Linked DNA regions of Arabidopsis thaliana. The protein of the gene in region 4 purifies or fractionates together with the protein of the main gene of each other region. This does not show direct contact. Each region holds a gene or a part of one and is shown on either strand. Other genes may lie near its edges.

The links.
Region 1: the proteins of EIF2 (region 4) and AT5G24710 fractionate together in Arabidopsis thaliana (co-fractionation; one large-scale study listed by BioGRID). This does not show direct contact.
Region 2: the proteins of EIF2 (region 4) and AT2G44070 fractionate together in Arabidopsis thaliana (co-fractionation; one large-scale study listed by BioGRID). This does not show direct contact.
Region 3: the proteins of EIF2 (region 4) and AT1G66070 fractionate together in Arabidopsis thaliana (co-fractionation; one large-scale study listed by BioGRID). This does not show direct contact.

Annotation. Positions count from the first base shown.
Region 1 is NC_003076.8:8,463,978-8,472,060, reverse strand, and holds the start of AT5G24710 (Transducin/WD40 repeat-like superfamily protein), read left to right. Parts: upstream 1-3,887; 5' UTR 3,888-4,140; coding exon 4,141-4,272; intron 4,273-4,357; coding exon 4,358-4,442; intron 4,443-4,523; coding exon 4,524-4,563; intron 4,564-4,653; coding exon 4,654-4,902; intron 4,903-5,217; coding exon 5,218-5,317; intron 5,318-5,429; coding exon 5,430-5,504; intron 5,505-6,082; coding exon 6,083-6,181; intron 6,182-6,578; coding exon 6,579-6,695; intron 6,696-6,776; coding exon 6,777-6,892; intron 6,893-6,979; coding exon 6,980-7,079; intron 7,080-7,735; coding exon 7,736-8,083. Other genes in the region: AT5G24740 (vacuolar protein sorting-associated protein, putative (DUF1162)), read left to right, coding at 182-544, 641-751, 835-939, 1,095-1,164, 1,297-1,988.
Region 2 is NC_003071.7:18,228,764-18,236,239, forward strand, and holds AT2G44070 (NagB/RpiA/CoA transferase-like superfamily protein), read right to left. Parts: upstream 3,868-7,476; 5' UTR 3,707-3,867; coding exon 3,686-3,706; intron 3,569-3,685; coding exon 2,724-3,568; intron 2,645-2,723; exon of another isoform or gene 2,627-2,644; intron 2,617-2,626; coding exon 2,562-2,616; intron 2,415-2,561; coding exon 2,334-2,414; 3' UTR 2,102-2,333; downstream 1-2,101. Other genes in the region: AT2G44065 (Ribosomal protein L2 family), read left to right, coding at 97-193, 1,058-1,605.
Region 3 is NC_003070.9:24,594,232-24,602,730, forward strand, and holds AT1G66070 (Translation initiation factor eIF3 subunit), read right to left. Parts: upstream 4,401-8,499; 5' UTR 4,136-4,400; intron 3,348-4,135; 5' UTR 3,290-3,347; coding exon 3,277-3,289; intron 3,079-3,276; coding exon 2,957-3,078; intron 2,830-2,956; coding exon 2,681-2,829; intron 2,558-2,680; coding exon 2,410-2,557; intron 2,319-2,409; coding exon 2,162-2,318; intron 2,055-2,161; coding exon 1,963-2,054; 3' UTR 1,578-1,962; downstream 1-1,577. Other genes in the region: AT1G66060 (hypothetical protein (DUF577)), read right to left, coding at 1-901; AT1G66080 (hikeshi-like protein), read right to left, coding at 6,125-6,594, 6,694-6,796; AT1G66090 (Disease resistance protein (TIR-NBS class)), read left to right, coding at 7,990-8,498.
Region 4 is NC_003071.7:16,695,892-16,703,990, forward strand, and holds EIF2 (eukaryotic translation initiation factor 2), read right to left. Parts: upstream 4,419-8,099; 5' UTR 4,039-4,418; coding exon 3,793-4,038; intron 3,609-3,792; coding exon 3,529-3,608; intron 3,381-3,528; coding exon 3,151-3,380; intron 2,924-3,150; coding exon 2,802-2,923; intron 2,720-2,801; coding exon 2,606-2,719; intron 2,531-2,605; coding exon 2,441-2,530; 3' UTR 2,150-2,440; downstream 1-2,149. Other genes in the region: HSPRO2 (ortholog of sugar beet HS1 PRO-1 2), read right to left, coding at 4,758-6,065.

The DNA.
Region 1 (8,083 bases), on a different chromosome or scaffold from region 4:
TTTGACCAATGATTAGGAGCTTTTATGACTTTGGGAGTGATTAGTGACCCCAAACCAACTCGTTTCTGGTCCAAGGATTATAACATAATATTGATTCATTATTCTTATAACGCCATGTTAATTCTTAATTGAAGGATGTTATATTTAATATGGTTAACTGAATCATTATGTTCGATTTCAGAGAGGTCTTATGGCTCTTGCCGATGTCGAGGGTGCTCGAATACATCTCAAACAATTGACAATTGCTCATCAAATTACTAGTTGGGAATCATTTCAGGAGATCCTTGTTGGGCACTATACCCGCCAAATTCTTCATGAGATTTACAAGGTAAGAACTGGTAAAATGTCACTTTTTCACTTAGTGTTTTTATTTCCTAGAGCACTCATACTATTCCCTATATACCTGCTGGACGTATTTCTGCAATGTACTATAACACAGGTTTTCGGCTCTGCTGGTGTTATTGGAAATCCCATGGGGTTTGCGAGGAATGTTGCATTTGGAATTAAAGATTTCCTGTCAGCTCCCAGCAGGAGTATCTCAAAGGTTATGATTAAAATCTCTTTTTGTTGCTTAACATTTTCATGTAATGTCTGGTTTAGTCACTTTTAACTTATATGCTAACCTAGATTACTTGAACAGAGCCCAGCAGGAATTATTCAAGGAATGGCTCACGGAACCACAAGTCTCTTCAGTAGCACTATTTATGCTTTAAGTGATGCTGCCACTCAATTTAGTAAAGCTGCACACAAGGTACGATGCATCTGTTTGCTTAAAAATCTATGGTGTAGACGCCTCCTTCAAGAAATATTTACAGAATTACCAATTCGTTGCAGGGTATTGTTGCATTTACATTCAATGACCATGATGTTGCAAGGATGGAGAAGCAGCAATTGGGTGAAGGATCGCGTAGCAAAGGAGTTATAGGTGAAGTGTTTGAGGTATGTTATTTGCACTTTCTTTGGAAGTATGTCTTATATACTGATTTGATGTTCACTTAGTCTTGAAAGTTACTTGAAGTCAGTGACTTCTGTCAAATTCTTCTGAACTTGCATAAAGAATTTAAGCATGCCAGCTGACACGATGTTCATCACAGGGACTCACTGGTCTCCTTCAATCACCAATAAGAGGAGCTGAGAAACATGGTCTTCCAGGCGTTATCTCAGGTATTTAAGCGAGAACCACCGCTCAAGTCATCTATAGACATTCAAGACATTTGATGTTCGTGTACACGCTGTCCTTTTGTTTCTGGCTTTCTAATTTTATGCATGTTAACTGGGTGCCTATATATGGTTCAGGAGTGGCCATGGGGATTACTGGACTTGTGGCCAGACCAACCGCTAGTATCCTTGAGGTAACTGGAAAAACCGCACAGAGTATAAGAAACCGAAGCAGGATTCATAACATAAGATCCCAAAGGCATAGGCTTCGTCTTCCGAGGCCTCTGAGTAGAGAACAACCTCTCAGGCCTTACTCATGGGAAGAAGCGGTCGGGACAGCAGTACTTATGGAGGTTGGAGATTCCCTGAAGTTCAAGGGCGAGAAGCTGGTGAAGTGCAAAGCCCTGAAACAAGAAGGAGCTTTCGTTGTAATCACAGGGAGACTGGTATTGGTTCTAAGCAGCCTGAGCTTGGTAGATTTCAGAAAACAGGGATTTCTCGGAGTTCCAATAGATTTGGTATGGAATATCGAAAGAGAAATCGGTTTGGAGAGTGTAATACATACAGATTGCAGCGGTGGAGTAGTCCGCATCATAGGAAGCAATTCAGATGGTGTATGGAACTGGAGACAGGACCAGCAAAAGAAGAGCAGCCCGACCAAAAAACGATGGAACAATCCTTCAGCACAGCCGCTTCTTCAGACTAACTTAGAGTTTCCATCGGAGGAAGAAGCAGAGGACTTGTTGAGTGTGTTGTTATCGACTATTGAAACTGGGAAAAGCCGGAGCTGGCACAGTCGATTTGTTTTAAGTCGAAGTAACATCACTTAAACCGGAGACTTGCGTACATAAGAATACAGTAATTCTTTAATTTTCTTTGTGTACAAAAGTGGCTTTATGAAACTAGTTTTAGAATATATGGTCTGACATGTTTTGGCTATAAAATTTTTTTTAAAAAAAAAGCGTAATAAATCGAAGTGTATTGTACATGGATTGTCAGGCATCATCATGATGCTCATATATGTGGCATCATCATGGTGATGCTGTTTTTCATGCGGGAGAAATGTTTTTACCAACATCAAATCGTATTGCTGCGGAGTTGAGAGGGATATTATGGGTACTACACAGTCTATGTGATCTACACTTCTATAATATTGAGATTTGGTCCGACTATGGTGCTCCTATGGAAGCCATTAGTGACCCATTAGATTGGCCACGTATTTATCTTATCTTGATAGGATTCATTGGTTTCTCCCGAATTTTGATAAGATCGTATTTAAGGTTTCATCGCACGAGATATAGCCACAAGCGTAATGAGAGAAGGTCGATGCAGATCATATTTAGCTCGTGGAAGTCCGATGTGGTTACACTCGCATTGAAGAAGACAAGCGGCGTTGATTTTATTGTTCTTTATTAAGTTAAGATCTTCTATAAGTGTATGAGGAAAACAAGTTTAGACGGGAAAAACAAAAAATCGAAGTGTATTGAGTAAACTTCAATGAAACCTGTAAAGAAAAAATTAAATTAAATTGAAGATTAAATAAGACTTTAATTTTGATTGCAAATCTTTTTATCGAATTCTAGATTTAGTTGTAAACATAGTAAACCCTTATTACACCAAATACTATAGTCATTTTGTTTGAGATAATTCATTTGGAATTCTCTTTAAAAGTTTAGTGATCGGAGGCTTCTCGATTTTCTCTCTCTTCTCTCACTTGAATTTTTCAGAGAAAGAAAAAGCGATTCATGGCAAGACTCCGTCCAACATCGTTCGGCTTCTTTAACGACGATGGTTGGTTCGTTTCCAGCATCAATTGGCTTCTTTAGTGGTGGTGGCTGGCTTTTGTATCCGGACGTGGTCCGGCTTTGCCGTCTTATCTCGCCGTCTGGTTTCTACTTTTCTCTTTAGTGGAATCCGGCTTTAGTTTCCAGTTCTTTGATACCGGTTTTACCTTTCTGCTTTTCAATAATCATTGTGATCTTAGTACCAATTTTTTTTTGGGTTTTCCTTATCATCCTCTTTTCTCAAGCTTTTTTGCATCCTTATTTAGATGAAAGTCAATCTTTGTTTCATTTCTAATCTTTACCTTTTGGGTTTTAATCAACTATTAGAGTTTGTTTCAACCTAAATCGATTCTCTCAATCCTTTGATTTAGAATCTCAATTCGGCATATCTGGTAAGATTTAATCATCAAGAGAAATCATGGTTTTTTATTTCTCTTTTGTCATAGATCGTTGCTGTTCTGGAGAAATTTAGATCAAATATAAACTCTGGATATTGTGGAGCAGAGAGTCAGATTTACAAGCGTGATGAGATTGTCGTAGAGGAAATGGTGGGTTATCGGATTTGATGGTGGTGCTGGGAGATAACGATGAAACAATCATCGGCGTAAGAGAAAAGTCACATCCACGTGTCGTATGTTGCTTTGACTTGTTTTATTAGCGCTGTACTCTTTACTACAAGGTGTTTAGTTGTACCCTTTATGGATTTGTGAAATACTTTGATGACTGGGCTTTAGTGATGTTTGTAAACCCATAATTTGAATAAAAAAGAAACTTATGAACAAGAAAAAAAAAAGTTCAGTGATCCAACGGATCCACAATTAATTTCCGTAAATGGAATATATTTTGCGACAAAGGAAAGGGCTAAAACAATTGTTATTGGGCCTTTTTTTTTGGGTTAATCAGACTAGCCTTCGCAAATTCGCGCTTTACGCGTTTCGCGTCTGAAGACACTACCGGAGTTTTTGTTCGGCGATTGTAGTTAGTGGTGGTGGATCCGGGCATTTCATTTGATAACCGCGGTGGATCTAATTGATCTGGATCTGACCATAGCCCTGCTTGCTTTTTCTGGAAATTTTTAGTGTGTAGCTCTGGAGAGTTTCTCGTGAGTCGAATCGTCTATGCGGATGCAGTTGTGCTCAGATTTTTGAGTTGTCTAATTGATCTTGAAGAACTGTGAGAGAGAGAGAGAGAGATCGAAATGTTGCGGGCGAGAGCATTTCGGCAGACCAATGGTAAGATTGTGAAGATACAGGTACATCCTACGCATCCATGGCTTGTTACGGCTGATGATTCAGATCACGTCTCCGTCTGGAATTGGGAGCATCGTCAGGTCTGTATCGAGATTCTGATTTGATTTTGGTTCCGGTTCTGATTTCGAATCGTGGATCTGTCAACGTTTATGTCTATTGTGTTAGGTAATTTATGAATTGAAAGCCGGCGGAGTTGACGAGCGCCGTTTAGTTGGTGCCAAGTTAGAGAAGCTCGCCGAAGGAGAATCCGGTGAGCCATTGTTCTATTCTGGTGAAATGAGTATGAGTTTCTGATGCTTTATGTTCTTACTGACATTCGTATTTTCCTCAGACTATAAAGCTAAGCCTACTGAAGCCATTCGAGGAGGAAGGTAGTAGATAGATCTTTCTCGCTGCTAATTCAGTTGCTCCTTTCGATAATGAGAAAAATGACTTATCTGCTCAATGTTTGCACCTACTAGCGTTAAGCAGGTGAAGTTTTATGACGATGATGTGCGTTATTGGCAACTGTGGCGCAACCGCTCCGCAGCTGCTGAATCTCCATCAGCTGTCAATCATCTGACATCTGCTTTCACTTCCCCTGCTCCATCGACTAAAGGCCGTCATTTTCTGGTCATTTGTTGTGAGAATAAAGCTATTTTCTTGGATTTGGTGACAATGCGTGGTCGTGATGTGCCAAAGCAAGAGCTTGATAACAAGTCACTTCTCTGGTAAGTTCATTGCTTTTTCTCTAATTTTAGGATATGGGTTTGCTTGACACCTGGACCCCGGGGAAGATGCTCCATTACTTTAGGCTTCCTATCTTTAAATCACTTGAATCCTGGAAAGACCTCCGTTAGTTACTACGCTGGAAATATTTGAGTCAAATGTAGACTAGGCATAAGTGTAATGGATATGTGTGTTCTAAGTGTAATGGATACCAGGCTTCCTTGATGTTTAATGTTCAGTCAATGGCCAAACTCCCTTTCTACATTTTTAATTTCTACTCCTCCTTAATGTTGCTAGAATTCTTCCTTTCTTTGCAGCATGGAGTTTCTTTCGAGATCATCTGGTGGTGATGGCCCTTTAGTTGCATTTGGTTCAACTGATGGTGTCATTCGGGTTTTATCAATGATAACATGGAAGGTTTGTTTGTTTCAAAATTATATTTTTTTTTTTTGGTTTCTCTGCTGGGTTTAGAGTGAGGGATTTTGATACTGATCTGTGTTAATTTCCTTGAATGTTTACTTCCTTGCAGCTTGCACGTCGATATACAGGTGGCCATAAAGGATCCATTTATTGCTTGATGAATTTCATGGCATCATCTGGCGAAGTAACTACATATTCCCTATATATGCCCTCTTTATTGCTCTGAATTTATTTCGAGTTATTTACTTAATATGTTAATAGTTAATACCATCTGATAGATGAAAGTGTCATGTAACTTAGAAAAACATACTCAAGATCACCTACTAAGATCGACTGTATATATTATATGAAAACGAGGTCTTGAGCATATCGTCTTGGAAGTTTCCTACATATATCTCTTTCTTCTTAGCGACGTAAAAATCTCACATTCTACTAAGTGGGAGTCCAGACCGCAGCAGGCCTTACTATACGGATACCTGTTTTACAATCCAAATATCTAGCCTTAGTTTCTTAGATCATCTGTACTCGGGTTAAATTTCATGCATAGCCTAGGCATTAGGAGCGGCGGGAATTTTAAACATTGGCATCTCTTTTCCCAATTGCTTGTTTAGGTTATGTTAATAGCGAATTTCTGATAGTACTGGGCTTTCTTCCCTTTTATATAACTTGACGTTTTTTAATGAATGCTTATCAAGTATTTTCTCTCTGTTATTTATGTGCAATACATGATACTAGCCATCCTCTATCTAAATGCAATTGCAGGCACTCCTTGTTTCAGGTGGCAGTGATGGCTTACTTGTACTGTGGAGTGCCGATCATGGCGCTGACTCAAGGGAACTTGTACCCAAGCTTAGCTTAAAGGTACTCAATTATGCCCACTCTTTCATTCAAAGTTCAAGAGAGGATATTACCATGACCGTTCAATTCTTAGGCCTGGAAAGATTTGCCAGATTTGGTTACAGCTGAGGCTAAGGCACCATTGTTCTTAGTTCCAGTGAACCTTCTGAATTGATTTCTGTGTCTGTTTCTGAATGTTGGATACTTGCATTTAGATATTCTTTCATTCTTTTTATAAAAGGCTGAGTAATGATTAGGGGACTATGACATGCTCGTGCTTTTTTTTTTTTTTTGGTGTAATAGACATGGTCATGTTTGCTTAATTGAGTGGATAATTTCCACTTCTCTGTTATACTTTTTTTTTTTTTTTTTCCTAATCCCTTCTTGGCTTCTTCTAATGTTTTTGTTCTGATTGTATTAGGCACATGATGGTGGGGTGGTGGCTGTTGAGCTGTCAAGGGTAAGTGGGAGTGCTCCACAATTGATTACAATTGGGGCTGACAAGACATTGGCCATATGGGATACAATGACATTTAAGGTAATGGTGTATCTCATGTATGGATTTTTCATATTTTCCCGATCTCATTTATTAACATGCATATCTACTTTTATTCTACAGGAGCTACGTAGAATTAAACCTGTCCCGAAACTAGCTTGCCACAGTGTTGCATCTTGGTGTCACCCTCGAGCGCCAAACCTTGATATTTTGACTTGCGTTAAAGATTCACACATATGGTATCTTTGTTTAAGATTTGGTATTGTATATGGTAGAATATATTTATGTATATTAGATGAGTGGTCTAATTGTTTGAATTTTTGCAGGTCTATTGAGCATCCAACTTATTCGGCCCTGACAAGGCCGTTATGTGAACTTTCTTCCTTGGTTCCGCCTCAAGTACTTGCAACCCACAGAAAACTTAGGGTAATTAGCTCATTGTTGATGAAATCCTCGAAATCTACCACGTATCATATCATTTCTTTCTGCCTGCTAGTTGTATACTATATCAATAGCTCATGCTCAAGCCTGAGCATGAGCATTGCTCTCTGAGGCTCCATTCTATGTGTCCCACAAAACATTAGTTTCTCTTCTTATCTCGTAAAATGCATCTATTATGGTTCAAATGATGAAGTTGTGTAGCTGTATAATATTGCACTTGGCAATGCAAAGGTATTCTGACTCAAGTAGACTAGGAATAAGAATAAGAATAGAATACAACTGTTTGTATTACTTCTTGCAGAAAAGTTTTGTATATAGCAGACTTTAAATTGATAGCTGTTTGAACACTAAATTTATCTAAAAGAAAATTGCAATGGAGAAGATACGTAATCTTTATGTCAGATGGTGATAGGGAAAGCACATGCTGCACCCGAAAGTTGAAAGTTATTCCTTTTTCAGAATTTGCAGATAATATTCGGGGTTCATTTTCTACTTGAAACCGCCAGTTGATGATTTTCAAAGATTGCTAGTTTCTTTATTGCATAATTATAATAGCATTGCTTCTGTACTTCTTTCGCTTTCATGGCTTCCATACATTGGTAGTAACCCTCATCAGGTACTTATTAATTTCCATTTTTTAGGTCTATTGTATGGTTGCACATCCTCTACAACCACATCTCGTCGCAACTGGTACCAATGTTGGTATTATAGTTAGTGAATTTGATCCTCGTGCTATCCCGTCTGCAGCTCCTCTACCAGCACTGCCTGGAAGTCGGGAGAATTCAGCTATATATATCCTTGGAAGAGAATTAAAGCTCTTGAACTTTCAACTATCCAACACAGCCAACCCATCCCTTGGCAATAATAGTGCCTTGTCCGAATCAGGGCTTTCTAAGGGAGACCCAGGTGAACAGTTAACTGTAAAGCAAACCAAAAAGCAGATCGTGGCACCAGTTCCACATGATTCATACTCAGTTCTTTCTGTGAGC
Region 2 (7,476 bases), 1.5 Mb from region 4:
CCAGACTGTTAATTATTTGTGTTTATTTGGATAGGTTGTTGGAGCTGTAGTGCTTAAAAACCCTACCTTTATACTGTTTAGAGCAGCAGTCCCTCCATGTCAGGTCTTGTGGCGTTATGCAGAGCTCGAGCTTCTGCTTCGTCTTCTTTATTCAACAGCGTTATTCGTCCAGCATTTCGCAATTTCTCTACAGGTAGGTGGTATTACTCTTTATTCTAGATGTATGCTTTTGACAGACTTTTCAAGTTTTCTCACTCTTTGCTTTGAACCTTGAATGAATTTGTTGAAGAGGTGATATATGGGTTGTGAAATGGTGTAGGAACATGGTTGCACTGTGAGTTTTATAATAATAGTTAAAGCCATTTTCCTTAGGCAGAGTATTGTTACAAACAACAAAACATTGAGTAACGTCTATTGTTATGTTAGCCTCTTCTATTTAAGTGGTCAAGTTGATTTTTTTTCCTATGTTGTGGGTTTTATCAAGCTACAAACCTCTTCTAGATGGATTAGGAACTGGATGAACGAACTTACTTACTTCTGGATTAGATGATGAGCTAGTGTGAAAGTGCGGTTGCTTCTTTTTGTTAGATGATAAAAGAATGAGCTTGTATCACATCGGCTCTTCTTCATAAATTAGTCTTGGATTAAAGATTGAGCTGAAAACTATGCTACTTCAAGTTAAGATACTATGTAACTAGAATAAGTTTATAACTAGGGCCTAAGCTGGGATCTCTGCAACTATGGTGCTATTTGTATCTAATTCTTCTCCTAAGTCTCTTGCTAGCTGGATTATATTCTTTTCCTATAATTAAGATTGAGCTCTGTGGAGTATCATTGATTGATGCATGTAGCTACTTTGTGGGACTTGAGTCTGTCTAGTCTATAATTAAGATTGATCTGTGTGGAGTATATACATCTCAAAAGTGACTTAACCTGAGGGATTTGGAGATCCAAAGTTTCAATCAAGCTTTTTATTTTTTGTCAAAATCCATATCTTCTGTTTTGTGTGCGTTTTATTTTTTGATAGAAAGCCTCTATCTCTGTTGGTGTTTTGCAGGTTTTGCTGATACACAGAACAAATCATTGGTAGCACAAATGAAAGAAGAGATGCTCCACATGGACATCAACTCAATGATAGGAAGTTCCATGCCACTAGGTATGATGCGTATCGGAACAATCATCCACAACATCGAGATGAACCCAGGGCAAGGCGCAAAGATGGTCCGAGCTGCAGGAACCAACGCCAAGATCCTAAAGGAGCCTGCTAAAGGGAAATGCTTGATAAAGCTTCCGTCAGGGGACACCAAGTGGATCAATGCCAAATGTCGTGCTACGATTGGCACAGTGTCGAACCCGTCTCATGGAACGAAGAAGCTATATAAAGCAGGACAGAGTAGGTGGTTAGGGATAAGGCCCAAAGTTAGAGGAGTGGCGATGAATCCGTGTGATCATCCACACGGTGGAGGTGAAGGAAAAAGCAAAAGTAGTGGAAGCAGAGGAAGGACATCGGTTAGTCCGTGGGGAAAACCGTGTAAAGGCGGTTACAAATCAGCTAGTGTCAAGAAGAAGAAGAAGCGTTTGGCAGAAGCAGCAGCCAAAATGTGATATGGGTGAACAAGTTTCGATTTTCTTCAAACGTTTCTTTCTTTTAAAAAGCCTCCAATGTTATTTGGTTACGTTATTGAATCTGTTTTTTGAGAGTTTTTTAGGCTTCATGAAACTAGAAGATCTTTGATCAGTTGAGAATAAATATGGTTACGTGTTTACTTTTATTAAAAAAAAAAAATCGAATTCAAACGTTTTCATCATAACAACGTTTAAAACAATGCGAATTTCTTTTTTTTATATATATATTAAAATCGTCGAAATCAAATTTGAGAGATTTATATGCTTATACTAGAGAAAAGGGTCTAAAAAGAAAAGAAAAGGAAACAAGAGAAAGAGTCAAAAGGTTGGAACAATATGATGCATTGAATCAATCCCCACGATAAAAAAAAAACATTCAGCAAAAAAAAACATTCAGCACAAATGTCTTCTTTGACTAATTAATTACCCCAAAACATTAATCAAAAAAGTGAAGAAATCAATTTGACATCTTCCTTGGTCTAAACAAACAACCAACTATTGAAAAAGTTCCTTATAGTGGTTTTTGAAAATTGAAACAAAAAACGAGAATGGTATTCTATAGGGAAAATAGTGAAAGAAGCCCACAGAATTGGAATAAGGAATGAGAATTAGATGTAACAAACAACAGAACAGCAACCATGCCTTATAATCTTGGGTCCTACTCCTCCATATCATTTCATTTTTATTCTTACTTCTATTTTGAGCATCTAAATAACAATCTTTGAGCTTTGAAGCAAGTGTTCTTTCTGATATTCTCTTACGATGACAGGCACACTTGTGGGAGGTACCTGAAATATAAAACATGGTCAGTGTTCAATGGTTTGAGATTCTGAATGAGTGGAGAAACTGTGTTGCATGAGTTATGTTTAGGGATGAGATCACTTGATCACCATAATGCTATGTTTTTAATTAAGAGCCGATATGATTAATCTTACCATGCCATAATCTGTGATTATCATGGAAATGTAATCTGAAGGTGTAGCATCATACCTATCATTAGAAAAAAAATCACAAACGGGTTTAGTGGCAGGCAGAGAAGAATAGTATTAACAGAACATATATAGTTTCACTTGTACGATTAACACAAGCTAGCTTACATCAAGTTCAGAAACTTCAGCTTTGCATTGTTGGTCAAGCCATTTAAGTAGTTTATGTCTTCTCTTCCATGAACTTTTGAAATAGCATTTGGATCACCGAGCTCATTGGAGCATATTGAATAATCCAACTGCACCTTCTCATGGAACTTATAGGCTTCGCAACAAACAAGCACAGGAACACGGAAAGCATTAGCCACCATTGCAACACAAGCAGTGCCAACCCTTGAGTAAACTGTTCCGTTAGAAAAAACTGATGAGGCGCCCAAAAACACTTTGGTGACTTGGTGCATGATATATGATATGGCAGTTATATGAGTGTATGTACAGTTAATGCCTCGTTTGATCAATCTACGAAGCAGTAGCTTCCCTTGAAGCTTTGGTCGAGAATCCACCACAAAGACACGAAACTTTTTCCCGAGTTCATGTGCATGCACTAATATCATCTCAATGACAGTGGAAGATCCGTAGGTCAGAAGGACATCACCGTCTCTTATTTTAGTGACAGCATGTTCGACTATCACTGTATCTGCACCTATGATTTTCTCGTTAATGAAACGTTCAATATCTGAGTGAAGAGAAGCTTTTGCTTCAGATTCAGAAAGTGTTATAGGCAGCTTTGCAATCCTGTTTTTCACAAATCGGATTGCGTTTCCCATGCTAATCGAAAGCGGACGGCATTCTATGAGGAAAGAGACGTAGCTACTTATTTGAGCAGTCATGTCTCTATTAAGGGTATTCTCAGGCGGCGTCGAGTAATCTTTAACAACCTCTTGGAATGCTTGGAGCATCGCAATACATCTGGCATTGCCACCAGAAATATCCCAAGAAAGATAATGAAGACCAACCTGATAACCACAACAACGTCATACTCATTCACTAGACAAGTAACATTCATCTTAATGAGCAACCACTTATTAAAACAAAGAGATTATATAATTGTATATTACAAGCACTAACCATACCTTGTACACAGCAGAATGCATAGGGTCAAGAAGTTACGATTTTCTCAAATGCTTCTTCCTTTAAAAAGCCTCAAGGTTTGGTGACGTTATTGAATCTGTTTTTGAGAGTTTTAGGCTTCGTGAAATTGGAGGATCTTTGATCAGTTAAGAATAAATATGGTTAGGTGTTTCCTTTATTTAAATATCATCGATCGAAATCAAACGTTTTCGTCATGACCACGTTTTAAACAATGCGTTTTTTCCTTTTTTTATATACTAAAACTGTCCTAATCAAATTTGAGAGATTTTTATATATATGCTTATGTATTACTAGAGTAGGGCTCAAGTAAAAATTCGAGGAAAGGGTCTAAAAAGTATAATTCAGAAAACGAATAAAAAAGGAAACACGAGAAAGAGTCAAAAGGTTGGAACAATGCATTGAATCAATCCCCACGATAAAAAAAAAAAAAAAAAAGAAACATTCAACACGAATGTCTTCTTTGACTATTATCTATTAACCCAAAACTTTTAGTTATATATACATTTTATCTTTTTGATGAAACTTTGAATGCTGTAGGCTGTAGCAGAGAACAATATATTCTTCAGCAATATTAGTTTTAAGACGTTCACTGATAGATTAGAGTTAGAAATTAGTCGGTATTAAACCAAAAAAAAACACACACTAGTATAATACACTTGACCGCATAATTTTGCTTCCACTTGAAAAGTGAAGAAATCTATTTGACATCTTCCTTGGTCTAAACAAACAAGCAACTATTGAAAAAGTTCCTTATAGTGGTTTTTGAAAATTGAAAAAAAAAAACAAGAATGGTATTCTATAGGGAAATAGTGAAAGAAGCACATAGAATTGGAATTAAGATTGAGAATGAGATGTAACAAACAACAGAGCAGCCAGCCAGCCACCATCCTTGCAAACTTGGGTCCTACTCCTCCATATCAATTCCTCATTTCATCTTTATTCTTACTCTTCTCTTTAATCTTCTAATTAACAATTTTTGAACTTTTCATGTTTTGGTACATAACCAACGAAAAAAGAAACAAGTGACGTACAAAACACAAGAAGAAAATGAAATTATCTTAATTGATTCTGACCTAAAGAATTTAACATTTTCTCTTTCAAATCTTTTGTAGCAAGGGAGGTGAAACGAAAACGAATCATTAAGATACGTGCAATGAATCCAATAACCTCTATGACTAGCAGATGCATGAATTTTATTTTTGTGTTTCTGTTATGCATCTTTTTAGTTGCTTTTTAAGTCTGGTCATATCTTCGCTCAGACTTCACTGATGCAAAGCTGGATACAAAATCGACAAAAGTATATGTCCCCATATATTCCTATCTTTATACTGAAGAAAATATATACTTTAGCTTTATCTATCGCACTACTTTAGTCTTTAGAGTTGATTTATCAATTAGTTCCTAAATCAACTAATGCACATGATTTAATGTAATTAATTGTCTCTTAATTGTACGGATTAGGTGATGAAGATCCACCGTCCACCATGGCTGTAGTACCTAATTAATACCGTGTAAACTTTAAACCACGGGTATTACTTATGATTGTTATTAGAAAATAACATTAGCTTACCTCAAAAAAAATGAGGAATTTGTTTTTGATTTCTAGCAAAAAAAAAATGAAACCAAAAATGATTAGACGACTCTTTTGTTTGTAGACACAATAAATAATATAGAATTTTTGTAAGAAATTAATAGTTTAGAACAATATGCGTGTATTCAAAAAGAATATAATTAAGAATATTTGAAATGATTAAATACCAATATTATTATATTAGTTTATATTTTTAAATCAAATTACTCAATTACAAAAATAATACATTAGAAAATGATTAATTATATTTTTCTAAAGTGTTATAAAGACACCATTTCCTAACGGTATTGATTTTAGATAATAGAAAACAATAATTTGTGAGGAGAAAGTATTTAAAAGAAAACAGAAAAAGAAAATGTATAACGTAGAAGAAAGGTGGCTTTAGATTGGAGAGTTGTACGAGGAATATTAATAAGTCAAGTTGGTCGAGATATGCATTGAATCGATGGGAACGAGCCACGTGACAACGACATGTGCCGTTTCATCCACATTACATACCTTTTGAAATTATTGCTTATTTAATTCTTCTATCAACATTTTTTTTGCTTATACTTATTTTCTTCAATATATCTCATACCACTAACAATTAATAAAGGCTAATCTTAATAGAGAAATAGAATCATTCGTTTTAATAAACTCAAGTATATGTGATGAAACTGTGGGCATATCATATAAACTTGTTATTGAGCATAATAATTCATCTTATTATGTCCTACTATGCATTATGCAATGTATATAATATGAATTTTTTGTTGAATATTGTTGCAGGTCCACTATGTTCCACTAGACATGCAATCTAAGGGAGGGTTTGCGATGTTCAAGGCAATCATGCATGGGTTGCCATTTCTATATAGCTTTCCCTTTCTACAATTTTTTTCTTTCTAATTTTCTAAAAATTAAATATACACACACTATGGATGATGGATTAACCAATAGAATCCAAGGAATTACGAGTAAAAAAAACACCCTCCTATAGTTCACCTATATCTTATATCTTTCTTGGTTTTGGCTACGAATTGAAATCTTTTTCTGATTTGGATAAGAGATTGCGCTCTCTGTATACGTTCTTATATATATCACTATAATCAAATATGGGTTTTCTATAAATCTGTAAGGCATTATAAACATATGTATCAATATATTCTTAACTGACATTTAGATTGGTATAAGCAATGTTATTTACCTACATATTATCTATTTGTTTACATAGGAACTGGTGGCATCGATCCTAACCATAAGATCATGAATACAAAAAATCAAAGATATCGAATCAAGTACATATCCACAAGATAATTTGAATATCTTTTAAGATCGGGAAGATATCACTATGGTGTATATGCTATTTATATAACTGATCAGTTATATATAGTTGTTAAACTTTGTTCTAACAATTTAAAAGTCTGCATCATCTTTTTATTGACGTTAATTAAGTTTTGTTTTTGTTTAAAGCGGGAGGTGAAGTTTTGTTGTAATTATGTCTACTTGAGCCATTATAATTGTAGAATAGTAATGTCATTTCCATTGGGAGTTTAGCTAGTAGTTGACGAATAAAACCATTTCTCCTTTGTAAAAAAAAGTAGAAAAGACGTAATCAATAGATGTTATACATGCGATTCATTGAATTTGGATAAATAAGTATTTTGGATTGAAAAAAAAATAAAAAATGAGTAGTGGATTTTGGTAAGCTGTCAATTGGTTAATACCAGAACGGCTGAAACTAAACTGCTTGCGAAAATTATCATGTCCCTCTTAATTAAACACCCAACGAAAAGTACTTATGAATATATCCATTAGATATTTTAATTATTACATTTTTAGGCTGTTAAACAAATAAATTATATCGGTTTACCTGAAAGATAATGAATGAAAAAAAAAAAATCTTAATATATTATTTTATGTGTTTTTAAAAATAATAAGCTGTCTTGTATTTTTAACAAATAGCATTTTTAATATAGTACGATATTTAATACTATATCACTTTTTTGTTTAAATCATACTAAACAACACCTAGCCCTTTTTAAAATAAATAATAATAATAATAATAAGACCACTTATGTATCCTTTATGTATCATGTAAAATACAAAATTCCCTAATTATATAAATTTAAGTTGGCATTTCTTCTGACTATTAAAAGCATAAAACGAAAGAGAAATAAATATTGGACCAACTGTCCCACTAAA
Region 3 (8,499 bases), on a different chromosome or scaffold from region 4:
GCAACACATTCTTCGCTGTCTCCTCAGTGACAATCGCATCAATCCTACTAATCAAACCCAATACGAATCTGAATTCTGTAGTACAATACCACCATAATTGTTCCACTACAGCGGTTTCAACTTCCCTAAGAGCTTTCCCAAGAAACCCTAATTCCATTCCTCTCTTCACCGATTTCAACATCTCATTCGCAAGATTCTCCACCAAATCAACACGTGTCGTCTCCAACAAGTGAACCGCCGCACAGAAACCACCCACAAAGGCCAAACCCCACTGGCTCGAACTCTCTTCCTCTTTGTTACCTAAACGTTTTAAGATCGCTGGAAGAAGATTATCCATGAGAGGAATCAAAAACTCCTCTCCATCCAAAGGCATCGACAAGCTCTTGAACACGGAAACCGCTTTCGCAAACTCTGATTCCGCTTTAGACGAGATAAACTCACGCAGGTCATACCACGTTTCTTCCTGAATGGTGAATATCTCGAAAGCGACACGGTTCACGAGCATGGAAAGAATCTTTAAACTGTTGTTCGAGATAACTTGTTCTTCAAGGCATGATATGAGTATAGGCGAAAGTATGTGAACCACTGCCAAATTCAAAGAGGCTTCTTCTATGATGAAGATAACGTGGAGTAATATCATCGCAATCTCTCTGATCTGGTATGGGACTCGTGGATCATTCGAGGAATAGACACGCATGAGCTTGAGGGAGAAGCATCCCGGGTAATTGGCGACGCAGAAACGGAAGAACTTGATGTCTTTATCTTCTGGATTCTCCGGTGGCTTTGTGAGGGCGGCGATGAATTCCACCGTCGGTTCAACGTGGGGATTCGCAAGAAGCTTGAAGGCGGCTTTGGTGAAGTCTTGGGAGGTTGGTTGCTTCGGCGACTTCTGATTATCCATGGGAAGGTAACAGAAAGTTCCGGGAGATCAATAGAGTCTATAAAACGGTTGAAGAAGAAAAGTATATCACTGCTTTAGATATATCTACGCACGATTAAATTAGGTTTGTTAAACTTTTTTTTTTATTTATTTTTTTCTAAAATTAGGATAATGATAGGATAGGATATTTTTCTGCTTTTTTTTGTTTTTAGTTGGATATTTTTCTTCACCATTACTGGAAATCATTAAATGAATCTTCTTGAAGTTTTAAAAGATTCTTATAAAAAGAATATCTTAGAGAGTAGATATTGTAACATATTTAAGAGTCTACATTACAGAGAATTATATCAATCAATTCATATGATTACTTTCTTTAATCAATCCCACTAATCTTTCTCCTAAAAGAGAATGTGGAAGAGGCTGAAGTTGTTGACACAATGTCTTCCGGAGGAAACAACACAGAGTCCGAAGAAGAAGAAGAAGCAACTCAACCACCAATTAAGAAGATTAAACAATACAGTCACTGTGTTGTTGTTGGAAATTAACTAGTAAGGAATTAGAGTTCCTTAGTTAAAAACTCATCATCATCCTCCCATGAATTCTTTATGTCATTCCCATTCACATCTTTATGTTATTAGCTAATGTAAAGTCATGATGATATTAGCGTGTTTCAAGGTTTACTACTAACATTAGCGAATTGTAACGAATCAACATTTTCTCTCTTACTCAAGAGGCAGTATTTAAAGATTGGACAACATGAAACGCACTCATGTCTATAAGAAATTCAACCCCCAAAGAGATTTAATCAGATCAATGTCAATAATAAATTTATACGGACACTTTAAGTATAGCTTTTTCAACCAACAAATAGAACCAAAAACATGACTCTAGAGAATTCCCAGACCAAACCAAAACAAAAGCTTCCCATGTTCCAACTATATATTTCCGCAACCAGAAATTTGGCTCTTCTTGCTCTATTCAAACCAAAATTAAGAAAAATGTGTTTCTTTTGAGTGATAGATAAATGATAAAATAGACGCTGGACAAATCCAATTTGCATTTGCTCAAAAAGCTCTTTTAATCTACATGAAGTCGAAGTCATCCATGGCATCATAAGGACCAGCCACTAGATCGTCATTGGCCTTATCTACAATAAGTTGTTTCTTCTTTCCACCTGATCAAGCAATGCCAATGGTCATGAAAAACGGATTCAGAATAACACATTCATAAAACTATAAACCAAAGATGAAGTGATTGTGAGTAACACATTCAGAATAATACCTTTCTTTTTTCCCGCAGCAGCTTCTTTCTCTGCCTTTAGTTTTTCATTTGCTATCGTTGTAATGGACGAAGCAACATCTTTAACATCAGCTGCTTTCATGTTGGTCAATGAAAGTCTCATGATTGTTTTGAGCAGCGCTATATAGTGATAACTTTTCTGCAACAGAAACCAAACTATATTTTCACACATCATGAGCTTCAATACTAGCCAATGAGAATAAAGGTATATAAGGCAGAATACAACATACCTCATATGGTTTAATCCTATGAGAAATCATTTCAGCATATTCCAAAAAATCGCTTTCAGACTTGGGGATAAACATATCAAGGTTTTTGTCATCATCCTTCACTCCAAAGAGCTCAGCAGTTGCCCGGTAGTCGGCTTCCTCAACAAGCCTGTGATAGAAAGAATATAACATATAAGGTCACATAGACCTTCACAGCCTTCTTCCATACACAAAGTACAAAAGATTAAAGTGAATTATTATGTGTGGGAAAGATATTATTTACAAACTGTACCTCTGCTGGCGAAGTTTCTCCGCTATAGGATCTAGAGGTTTTTCTTTTGGTGCTTCCTTTGGAACTTCGACTGCTTTACCCTTCTTTTCAACAGTTTTGGGGGCTGCTTTCTTAGGAGCCTTCTCCGGAGCAGGATTTATAACAGGCGGCTACAGAAAAACAACAAGGCAAAGCAGACAAAACATAAATATTCCCGTTGGAATCTCAAACCAAATTATACGTAGTAGCCACTAGCCAATAGGGAAAGAATTACAGAGAGTAAAAACTAAGCTATACCTGAGCAGGTTCATCATCATCATCCTCCCATGAATCCTTAATTTCATTCTCATCCACATCTTCATCATCCCAGTTACTTTTAAGCTCAACTTTTGCTGGAAGTGGTGCAATTTTCTCGTCCTCTGGAATCAGAAAATAAAAATTATAAGACTACTCACATGCTAGTGATACGATTTTGAAATATCAAATATGAAACCCATCAGATTAGCAAATAATCCAAAATTGCTTGCATATCCAATCAAATACTATAAATAAATAAGAAGACTATAATTAGATACAAATAGAGAATATAAGAGAGGACACTTAAAGCATAGTCTTACCCCAGTCATCCATATTTGCTGCAAATTATCAGGTACAGATATAAGCTTCTATCTGAGTCCAACTGGTAAACCTGCCAAACATACGCGTAAGCATCAGAAACACGCTTATTTGATCAAACTACATTACTGATCAATCATTCAATCCACATAATCAAATACACTGATCCCCATGTGTAAATATGCTTAAACTACTTGTAGTAAGCTTGCTAACTTCACATCATAGACAGAGAATACTGATACTATTACTTTACAAATCAAGGTTTCACAGCTAACAAAAACACATAGGCCTAATATTTCACACCCAGGAAAAACAGCTAAATCTAATGCTTACAAAAGACAAGATATCTTATATCAATTAAAACTATTACAGGCATGTCAGCTATCTAAACCTGAACACAAGTTCCATGAACTCTTAGAGAGATACCAAACAAAAACAGTCCCCAAAACACAAGAATCTTAAACACATAACTAATAATTTCCTTCTGATTTTGGTAATCCAATCCTATGGATTTGCAACATCGATATGAATTCCTCAATCGAAATCAATCAAAATGGTTAAAACCTTAAGAAGTCCTTGTTTCAATAAAAAAAGGATTCAACTTGAACATCATCATGCAAACAAAGAGCAGAGAAAAAGTAACGAATTGGTCATAGTAATCTACACTACACACAGAGAAGTTTTGATGATAAAGTTTGAATCATTAACCATGAATTCGAGAACCCAACATTAAGAAATCAAATCAAATCAAAATCATAATTTGGAGCAATTCTATAGAAACCCACCAGAGAATCAATCGAAAATTAAGATCTAGAAGCGAATTTAACTGAGAAAGGAAAACCCTTTGATAAGAAAACATACCGAGGAAAGTCTGAATCCAAAAGGGTTTTTCGCAGAGGAAGAGAAATCGCAAGAAAATTGAAGCGTTTTCGTTGGATTAGAAATCTCCGATGTGGTGGTTTTTGCTTCAGAGGTTAAAAAGAGATTTAGGGCTTTTGTGTGTTTCCTTTTGTTTTTCGTTAGATTTTATGCCTTTTTATAAAGCCTTTCCACCGTGGCCCCAACATGTCGAACCGATCAAAGTATAGACCAAAGTTGTTTGGTCAATTTCGGTTAGACTGATACGGTCGAACCGATCACCGTGGCCCCAACATGTAACTTTTTCCATCTTACACTCTCCATTTTTTTATTCCGTTTTTAATCATTTTTTTTTGGAGTTTTTGCACAATGATTTGAATTTGCTGACCAAGTATTAAGTACTTTTTGCAAATGAGGGTTGAAGGGTATTCTCACATGTGTGCAATCGATTGTAGAAAATACTTATGTATTCGAGATTGAAGTTTAAGTTAAAGGCTTTGATTTTGATTCATCGTATGTATCAGACAACTAGAGTTGTCCATCCAAGTCAGATTATCCCGAATATTTGTAAGCTTCTTGACTCTACAAATTGTTTAGGTCCATTGAATATTGAAGCCGTTGGTAAGCCAATCTAGAACCATATCAAACAACAACTTCAATCGATTAGATCAATGTATTAACGATCTACTGTGATATAGTGGACAAGAATCAAGATTCAAGATTCAAGATTCATTCCTCACACACAAGCTGAGTTAAATCATCACCTTTCATCCACCTCTAAGCAACAAAAATAAAGTTCATCACTTTAAATTACTTAAGAGCTACATTTGAGCTTATGACCATGACCAAATCTGAAACAGTATCCACTCAATGTATATGTGATTCATATTTTGCAACTACTCATATAGTTCTCACAAAATATTGAATTAACCGTTGAAAACAAATATAGAACATAAGATTAAATTATAATAAACTACAATCTCTTCTTCCATTTATCATATAGAACCTAAGATCAAACGGGTAAAACCACACAGTACACACTGTAAGAAACTGAAGCTTCTCAAAAACTAGGAATCAAGATTCATTCCTCAACACAAGATGGATTAAATCTTCACTTTTCATCTACCTCGATTCAACAAGATATAAAGCTCAACACTTTATATTGCTAAGATCAAAGGTTGATTGAGCCTATGAACATGACCAGAATCTGAAACAGCATCCACTTACCAAAACTATGATTTATAATGTGAGTTAGAACACTGAAACTGTTAAACTATCCTCTGACCAAATACTGAATCATATATTACTAGACCAAAAAATGTCAAACCTTCCTCTGTTGAATTGCACTAAATTAACCGAAGAAAAAAATATGAACATGGAAAGCAATTATGCATATCTCTCACATTTTCTCATTGGCAAACTAAGTAAACTAAAATGTTGTCTTAGATTCATCATAAAAACATGAACAGATTTAATCTTAACCCTTTCATCTACCTCAATCCTCAAAACAACAAGAGAAAGTTCATCACTTTAAATTTCTAACAGCAGAGTATAAACTTATGAACAATAGATACGAAACAGTATCCACCATTCCACCTACTAAAACTGTGATTCATATGTAAGCAAGAAGAACACTGAAACCAAAATATTCATAACCCTCATATTATCTCACTAGCAAACTAAGTAAAACTACAATCTCTCCTCCAATTCATCATATATAACCCAAGATCAAATGGATTCAACCACACAGTATACCAAAGTGAGCTAATCAAAAACTAAGAATCAAAATTCATTCCTCAACACAAGACAGATTAAATCTTCACCTTTTCATCTACCTCAAACCAACAAGATATAAAGTTCAACACTTTAAATTGCTTAAAAGCAGAGTATGATCAACTAGTTAATAAACATTGACAAACAAAGTAAAACTACAATCTCTTGTTCAATTCATCACATAGAACCACAAGATCAAATGTTACAAAAACGCTAACCTTACAAAGCAAAGCTTTTGAGGAAATCAGGATCACGTTTAGCTTTCTCCTGAAACTTCTTAAACCAACGATCCAAAATATCCATAGGAACAACCAATTTACTTCCATCAACACCACAAAAAGACTGCATAAAGTTAAACAAATTCTCTCCAACTTTCATAGCCAATTTCTCAATCCTCCTCTCCGCAACAACATCCAACGACCTCAACGCTGCTACATCCTCCACCGAAACACCGATCTTCGCCGATAAGGAACTCGAATCACCCGCCGTGAGTTGCATCTTCGCTGCACTACCAGGTTCAGGCCATTGAAGTGATAAAACAGCAGAAGGTCTAGCTAAAGTTACAGCACCACAGAACACAAAAGCTGATCCTGGAGATTGAACATAAACAGCTAAAGCTTTATCTGGTGGAAGATTGAAATTGTTTAACAAGAAGATACACATCTCTGAGATTTGATCATAAGCTTCACCTGTAAAAAAAGAAAAAAGGTTGGATTTTTCGATTAGGGTTTTTGATTTTGGGAATTAGGGTTTTGAAAAGTTTGGTTTTTGGGGAGATGGGTACTTACCGACGAAGTGGTTCATGTCGAGAACCCAGTGGAATGTGTCGATTTGAGTGAAGGTTGAGATGTCTATTGGGAAACTTCGATTGGGGAAGACGACTCCGAACATTGTTGAGTTTTTGGTTTTTTTGAAAGGTTTTGATTTTTTTTTAATGTGAGTGAAGTTTTAGTTTATGTTGGTGATGGAGTGATGGAGTGATGTAGATGATTGAAAGAGAGAGGGTGAAGAATTTGAAGATGGTTCTAGAAGATTTGAGAAAGAGCTATGTACTCCGCACGAAGACTTTTTTTTGTGTGACCGCGGAAAAGATTAACGTTATTTTATTTTTTGGAAATTTCATTTTTCTACCTAAAATCATGTACAATAGAGGTGTTCAATAAATAAGAAATTCAACAGTTGAACCATTACAATAAAGATGTTGAAAAAGAAAAAAAAACTTATGTGGATTTACTTCTGTTAAATATTTTCAACATGTTGAAACCAAAAATATGGGATCATAAATGACACATATTCATTTCTGATTGGATATTAAAATTTTTAATCTCACCCTAACTATTTAACATCAAGTATACTAAAATTTTTATTTATATATATTTTTATATCAAAATTCATCATATTTTTTTTCTCTATAAATAGTTTTGTATTTATTAAACAAACTATTGGAAATGTTAAAAATTAAATAAATATTAAATTAGTAGGTGGTCGAGAAATTTATGACATGGAGTATGAAAAAAAATAAAAAAAAGTGTTGAAAAACCAAACCAATGTATATAGTCTAAGGGATGATTGGTACACCATCTATTCACGTATGAAAAATATGATTCCATTACTCTCTGCTATTTGAGATATTCATCAAGTTTGATTTACATATTTTTACGTTTGCAAAAAGTATATACTTAAAACTAGTTTTCAGCATTTTATTTCATAAAAACTTTAACTAATTCAATTCGCTCCGTCATTATTTCAGTTACTCCATAGTTCCGTTATTTATTTGACGTATTAATGAGGTCTTTCGTTAACCAAAACAAAATTATAATTTTCCTGTCTTATTCCATTAGACCATTACGCGTTTGGCATAAAGAGGCAAACTCACGTAAACCAATGTTGACTTTTCTTTTTTCGTTTGTTCTTTTTTCTTCTCTAACTTTGTTCGTAATAAGTTCAAAATTTTGTTTACTTTGCAATTGCAAAGAAACTTCTCATTACATTCCTTCACCATAAGCTTTGCCACTCCTCTATAAAAGGTTCCGTAAAATGCTTAAACAGACACATCTCTTTGAATCTGTATTTTGAAACCACTCATGGCTGCATCTACTTCTTCTTCTTCTTCATCATCATCTTCTTCTTTATCTTCTCCTTCACCTTGCACATGGAGATACATGACTTTCACGAGCTTCCATGGACCAGATGTCCGCAACACATTTCTTAGTCATTTGAGGAAACAGTTTAACACCAATGGAATTACGATGTTTGATGATCAAAGGATGGAGAGAAGCCAAACCCTTGCCCCTACTCTCACGCAGGCGATTAGAGAATCGAAGATCTACATCGTCTTGCTCTCGAAGAACTATGCTTCATCGAGCTGGTGTCTTGATGAGCTATTGGAGATTTTAAACTGCAAAGAAAAAAGAGGACAGAGAGTGATGACAATCTTCTACGGCGTAAATCCATCTGATGTGCGGAAACAAACCGGAGAATTTGGAATCGCTTTCAACGAAACTTGTGCTCGTAAAACAGAGGAGGAGAGGAGAAAATGGAGCCACGCTTTGACCTGTGTGGGCAACATAACCGGAGTACACGTCCAAGACAGG
Region 4 (8,099 bases):
CAAATGTCGTGGTGTTATTAAAAAGAAAGTTAATCAACTCTATACGAATCATTTGAAATGGGACATTTTGATAATTGGTATGTCGTCCATGCCAAGTAAATGGAGGTTTTATGAAGAAAGTCAAAACACACAACAAATTTATGTGGTTCATCAACGGGATGTTGATTACGTACGCATACAAATAGATAATGGTTTACTGTATATAGATCCCAATATATAATTTCAATAACTCAAATAGATATATAATTTCAACCGAAAACAACGGTCCATAATGAATGATCTCAGCGAGAGTTCAGTTTAAACATGATTGTTGCACTATAAAATTAAGTAATGTATCAGGTACTGACCTGCCATGCACTCTGCATCTTTTAGGTTCACGGGTGATTAAAATCAGTATTGTCATTCTTGATAATTAAGACACAAGAATTTTCTATATTGAAACCCATTGTCATATAAGTGCATTGAACCCAAACCTAAATTGGTGACAAAAAGAAAGAATCCAACCCTCAAGTAACTAGCTAGTATTTTTTTTTACCAAAAAATATGTTCAGGACAGCTGACATTATATTTACATATAAGTGTATTATTCTAATAAATGCCCATGATTAAAAAAATATAAGCATAACCACCACTACTACTATATGAGGGATTATAAAGAAAAACTAATGCCAGCTGAGTCACGTATAAACAATTAAATGATTAAATAAAATTTTAAAAAGCTATACCTAAGATAAAAGTAATGATATATTTTCAATAACATAATTAATAATTCTTTTTTCAACTATATATTTCAGTTTTTGTATTATATTTATAGACAAGACAAAGTCTATATTAGACAGACTTTTACGTATGTACGTCTCTCCGTATGCCTGTCGTTTGTTTTGTCTTTTGCACCTGCACGAAACAATATGGAGACGTCTCAACAATCTAGCTTGTATTTAAACTACTTACAATTACTAATCCATGTAGCATGAAAATAACTTGTCCGAATCGTTAGGTTTAAAACAGCCGGGACCATGCATGTCATAGTTTGAATAGAGATCATGTGATAATATATCACGGGACCATATATGAATGGGTGGCTCTTTTGGTTACACATATTATCAAAGAGCGTTTTAAGAATTATTTTGGTCTAAAATATGATGTCGATCGTATTGAAAAGTCGAGTGCCCATCCCTAATTCATAAATATAGTTGTAGCTAGTCGTCGAGTATGTGTTTTCTCCGTGTTATGTTTAGTCCGTCTCATAAAATCATGAGAATTATTGCAAATTATCGTAAATTTTCAGGTTTTAAATAAATGTAACCCACAACTACTATGAAAATGATTCGAATATTAATTTATCGGTTAGCACTAATACGTATGATACTACGTCAATGTATAAATAAAGAGAAAAGGCAAAGGCTATGGAGACCAATAACCATAGAGTGAAGGTGGGTGAAGTGGAATGATAAGTTAGATTACTGTGAACAATGTATGCAAGTTGTTCACTTACATCACAAGTGCATGCACGTCTTTAATGTTGACCCATCTACACACCGGCCTACACATATTCTTCTCAAGTTTGATATGTACATGTACTGGTACGGTCGTATATGTCTGTATAACATCGTATGTAGTACGTATGTTGACAGAGAAACAGGCGTATACATTTGCTATCAAAATCCATTCCACAAAAACTCCCCTCATGTTTTTACAACACAAACTAAAATAATCAAGTTTTTAACCACAAAAACTTCAAATACTCGTTCGGATTCAGCGAAATCAGTTTAATGTATTCCGATACATAAACCGTAGCTCTAATTTAGCTTATCAGAAAGACAAAAAAACGGGTAAAAAAATTGATTGTGTTAGTTGTGTAGTGAAAGCAGGAAATGAAAAAATTGCTGAATGATTTCAATCGCAAATGTTGTGTAATATTTAGATATTAACTTCCAATAGTGTCTATTATATGCCAAAGTTAGCATTATTATATGCAACCGCAAATCGCAAATTGTTTACAATTTAGAAGTTAGTTTCCAATAGTGTCTATTAAGCCTGTTTTGTAAGATCCTACATAGGCCAATCGCAATACGGCAAAAGAGAAAGCAGTAATTCTAGGCTTCTATACTCTTTCAATGTAACATAGCTAATAGAGAGAGACCATGATCCAAAATTCTGAGCATAAATATCTCCAGTGATAAAGATTAGGCGCAACAAGTGGCAAATAAAAAAAGAACAAAGCTCATTTATATGTATATTGTTTAAAATTAGGCACACCAACTAAAAATCCCTTTTAAAGACCTTAATTCACGAAACAGAGCATTTTGTCTTTCTTAAACTTGCAATTTAGGAACACTACAACAAGAAGCTGATTCTTACATAAACTTGTTAAAAGAAAATTCGAAACCAAAAAAGCAGCATTCCCCATTTTTAGCAAAACCTTGTGTTTCCAAGCTTATTATAGCATTTGAGCAGCTGTGTTTAGCTTCTCCGCTAGACTCAACTGTGTCCTTGTTATGCTTGATAGGTACAACAGAAGCAATTGGTCCTGAAATAACAGAAGAAACAACCATTAGTTTTTTACAAAGTGTTTTGCTTTGGCTTGAAATTTACAATCTTTTACCTGGAGACTATCATTCACGAGGTTATCGAAGACTTGTGGAGGTAACTTGGGAAGGGAGGCTACTGCATCTGCAATGAATCGTCCAATGTTGTTGTCTGGAGCTATTTGACCTCCCTGGGAAATTTCATTAAAACTCTGTATCAAAGATCATGTATCTATGGTCGATAATAGACAGTCAAGGATATCATAAGCTTACCACGACACTGTCAACATATTTGTAGACATCGTTGATTAGAGTTAACAGCCTCTCCATTGTTAACTCCATTCCTTCCAAGTCATTTGGGAGTTTGTCAACAGATGTTGCCTTAAGTACATCGACTGTGGATCAAAATGATGTTTTTAAATCAGTCACAATCATTAATCTACTGAACAGACACAACCAAAGATCATCTATTCCCGTTGGTTCATTCACAATCATTAGGGAAACAATCTCTAGATACTGAATCAACCATGCAGAAACTGAACTACTTAGACAATTGAGGAATGAGGACTGTTATGTATTTTGAATATAGAATTGGTTACTAATAAAAGGATAGAATACTCACATCCGACTCTCTCAGCATCAACCATGCGGAGATCAACAGGAATCTCTTGAAAATGTGCAACGAGTTGTCGATCACCGAGTGAGAGGTTTGAAGAGACAAAAGCTTTGATAGTACCCTCACCATTAGTAAACCCAGTATCCACAGTTAGGTGAATTGGGTTGGGTACTTCTCTAGCATAGAAATCATGAATCAGCGAACTACCGCCATTAACCCCAGCACCAGTTGAATACCTGCAAATCAATAAACTTGTTCAATCAACTATTCCAAAATGAGAAACTACCTAATGCAGTGTTCCAACACAGCTACAAGAATCATGTGACAAAGATATGAGACTAATCATGAGAGTATAAGAGAATAAGAGTGGGAAACGAGAAGTACCAGCCGACAATAGTTTCCTTTGAATTCACCTTAAGGTGTGAAGCTAACATATTGTGGTGGTAATCAATATCCACAGCAACCTGCATCCATATCAAACCATAACCCTCAAAACTTATCACAAGTCACAACCTTGGGGTATGAAGCTAACACTACTCCTATAAACATTCACATCCTAACAAGCAAATCTTCAGCTACGAAAGATCTAGGATCTCCAACGATAGAGAATCGAGAGAGAGGAGAAATTTAGAGATCAAAATTTCGAACCTGATCGGATGATTCATTGTGAGGGACGGCGTATGAATTGCGGATATCGACGGTTCCGTCAGGTAAGATAGATCCGAGGAGAGTTCCGATGACTCGTTCAGCTGAGTCAGGACGTCTCACGAAGCAATCACAGACGTTAAAGATAACGAGAGGGTGGATCCTCGCCGTGAGTACAGAGGTTGTAGCGGACGCCGTTGATGACGGAGACACAAATTGCAAGATGGTGTGCTCGCTCGTCGCCGCCATGGTTAAGATTCTGAGAAGGGGTAAAAGGCGCGAGAGAGTGGAGATTTAGGGTTTCCGATGTGAGCGTCAGAGGAAGGTAGGAGAAGGCATCAATGATACAGAAGATAGGTTATGTGCCAGTGGGCCTACAAACAGGCCCATTAAATGTTTTTCTTGGACTAATGAATGAATACTCATTCAAACACTTCCCTTCTTTCTCTTAATGAAATTTGTTGAACACAAAAAACAGAGAAAGGCAATGTCGTTTTATACATCGGTTTGGTTACTCATCGTCGGTTTGGGTTTTTTATAACGTTTTTGTGTGTGTGTTTATCATTGAATTTTGAATATTATACACTGTGAAAGTGAAATTGTGTTTTTCTCATAATTTAACATCTACAAAGGATAGGTGTGAAATTGTGTTTTTCTCATACACTAACATCTACGAAGGATAGGTGGTGATTTGTTGACGATTAGTCAGAGCATATAGATTAGTCGTTACTCGTTAGTAGACCACCCATATTTGAATTACGACTTGTGGATAATTCAAAGTATGGATTACGATATTCGTAAATGTTATCGTTTGTTAAAAAATCTCATAAATCATATAAAAATGAATTTGTATTCAAATATGGATCGTCAAATGTTCCAAAAATTTCACTATCTTACAAACTAAATTAAACCAAACCACCAATTTAAATTTATATTAAATAATTATACCAGCAGAAATTAAAATTTAATCATCCCAAATGACTCCAAAACTCTCCCAGAAACGTCTTTGCCGCGTCAAGGCTCGGGAAATACGTCGGCTCCATAAATATCTGACTCAGTGAGTCACACGACTCTTGACTCGCCGTCGCGTTCATCTCCGCACTTCCCATCATAGCCGCCACTAACTGCCTATACCCAAAGAAGAAACTCTTCGCCGCCGCTTCCACCGCTTGCATCCCCTGAAGCAAATGAATCTTATCGCACTCTGTCTTCCTCGCGTAAAGCTTCATCGCCGCCTCTTGTAATCTTGGTCCTCCGGTTGGATCTACCTCAACCGCCAAGACCGCCGGTACTTTCTGTCTCAGATCTTTCGACATCTTCATCATCTCCACTAATCCTTTAGATCTGAAACAAAACGCATCGTTTTTACCCGTCGATTTGATCTGTAACTGTTTCTTCAATTTCAAAAAATCTTCCGGATCCATCAACATATGAAGATCTTCAATCTCCGCTAAAATTTTCCAGATCTTCTCCAGCAAGTAAACATCGTTTGAAGCTTTTCCGAATTTCTCTTCTTCGATACTTGAGACGATTCGATTCAGAAGATTTCCAGATGCGTAGATCCACGATTCGAGGATCTGGTGAATGATATAGAGAGTTTGATTCTCGTGATTATCGATATGATCTGCGTATGGATTATCCTTGAGGCTATAGATCTCGTTTGGTCGGCAAATCGCATCGTACCGGAGATTTGGTTTTCCGGCGATGTTTTGTTCACCGAGTCCGAGCGTGTACTTACACCGACTCATCTCGTTATCGATCGTATATAAGATCTTCTTCCCCAAAGCCTCTGATCTCCTCCACGTAGCTAGCTGCGGTAACAAACTCAACGAACTCCGTCCACCGCCGACCGGAGCCTCCGCTGATATACCTTCTTCTTCTTCATCTTCGCAGATCGCTGCTACAAGCTGGATCTGCTTCGTGATGAGAGAATCTAGCCTCCGGTTCCATTCACGGTGGTTGATGTACGGTCTAGTATCAGAACAAACGGCGAAAACTAATCTGAAACTGATCTCCAAAGCTTGAAGAGCTGGTTTGAGAATCGGCTCTGATGTCCATTGAGGAAAATCACGAGATGACCAGAGCTTTCTTAGCTCAGGGAGACGAAGGTAAAGCTCGTAAGCAGAGCAAAGAGCAGGTGCTGAACATGAGATCGGAGATGAAACAGGGACGATTTTGAACGGTGATGGAATAGTTACGTGAAGCTTTGAAGAAAGCTTAGGTGAGTTTGGTAAATCTGATGATACCATCTTCCTCTTCCAATCCATATCAACCATTTTTATTTTTTTAAGGTCTGTGTTTTTTTTGGTGTGTGTGTTTGTGTTTGTGTGTTAAATTTTGAATTTGAGGATGAGTTTAGGATACGAGGAGAGTATATATAGAGAGAAATGTGGATAGAGGATGGGGACGAGAAAAAAGGCGTGTGGAATAATACCGACGCGACTGATTTGAAAGTCAGCGTAGAAACGCGGTCTCCTTTTTAAAAAAAAAAAAAACCAGTACTGTGGATTAATTTCAGGATAATCTTTTTTTCGTTTTTTGGCTTTATATTGCTTTTTGAACTGTTTTCTATGAAAGGTAAATGCCTGATGATTAGTCGAATGTTCAGTAATCTGATTTCTAAGGAAATATCGAATATTTTCTCGTTTTTGGTAAGATATTATCTTTTAATAAAAGTTAAAGTTAAAACACACAGTCATGTTCATAACATGTTAATACATATATAGAAATGTTTTATTTGATGATATATGCGATGTAGTATAACATTTAGGGGTTGATCGATAAGAATATAAAATTTTCTGCAAATACATTTTTGAAAGTCAGTCATGCGTTATGGGTTGTCACTTATGAGCAATATTTACAAGCTGTAGATAGTTTTTGATCGAAGCAAATATATAATAATTTTGATAGTTGTCGATCTACAGCTACAAGTTCAACTAATCATGCACATGGTGTTTTGAATATATATCAACAATCGTAAAACATAACAGGTGTCATGTACCACATAAAACTGAAAGAAAACAATGTTTTAGTTGCAAATATGAAAAACGTCATTTATTTTCTATAATGAATTGAATAGAAAAAGAGAGAAAAATCACGTATTTGTTTATGTATATTTATGTATAAAACGGACAAAATTGTGAAATTTTAGTAGCGTAATGACGGGCAATTAAAGAAACTCAAGAAAGCATAAACTTAAATTCGCAACACTAGAGATTTTAATACATGTTTGATGTTTCCCTACAAAAGTTATAAAAGCTCTATCTATAAGGTCAAACAATTAGGATAATACTTGCAAGTAGGAGCATTATAAGACAAATATACGTTACGATAAAATTATTGCTCAAAATTAAATTTGGATACTAGAAAAGTGTATAGTCCGCAGTTTTCACAAATATAGTGTCCCCTAAATTAGTACTGTATCGTGTTATCAGTATTTGAAACGCGTATATAATAAAAATGACTATTTTTTATTGTAGTGTGGATAAGCATTTAGACGGTGCCGTGTTATGAATTGAAAAAGGAATGGCACATGGAAGTAGGAGGAATATAGATGCGAAGCTTATCCAAAATATGTGAGGAAGGTTGGAGTTTGGTCTCACTTAATCTTCTAATAGTGTTTTACTTGGAAGCTGTCGTTTCCTTTGACTTTGGTTTTTCTTTTTTCTTTTCCAGTTCAATATTCTAATCTCACCGATTTTTTTGTTTATTTATTATATACGATAGATAAATTTTGATTGTAATAAGACTGTTTTGAGATTTCTTCACCAAATCTCTTTTAAGTGCATGAAATATATTTTTTGTGACCAAGACTTTCATGGATGTTTCTGTTAATTTATCGGTACATTGGATATTGAATTTAATTAATACTATCAGTTGGAAACGGTTCGAGTGAAGACAGACCATTTCTTCCATTACATATTAGACATTAGACAAGTAGATTATAACAAAGGACAAATGATTATATAGTTTGAAATACAAATTAGTGGTCTATAATCTTCTTTATGTTAAGAGTTTTCTTTTCAAATAACTACTTATGTTTTAATTGGTATTGTTTACATCTATTTTACGTACGTCACTTGTTTGCACTTTGCACTGATCAAAGCCATCTTTAACAATAACGTTTTTCTACAACCAATTACACCCGCCTAGTAAATTCGAGACACATATTCTCTTTAAAAAGAATAAAATGTTACAACTAGTAAATTCGAGGCATTAGTCTTACCCTAAAACCAACTTTTTATATATGTTAATAAATACACTTTCTTTAGCTATATTGTTTTGGTTACTGAATCATTCCACTATTCATA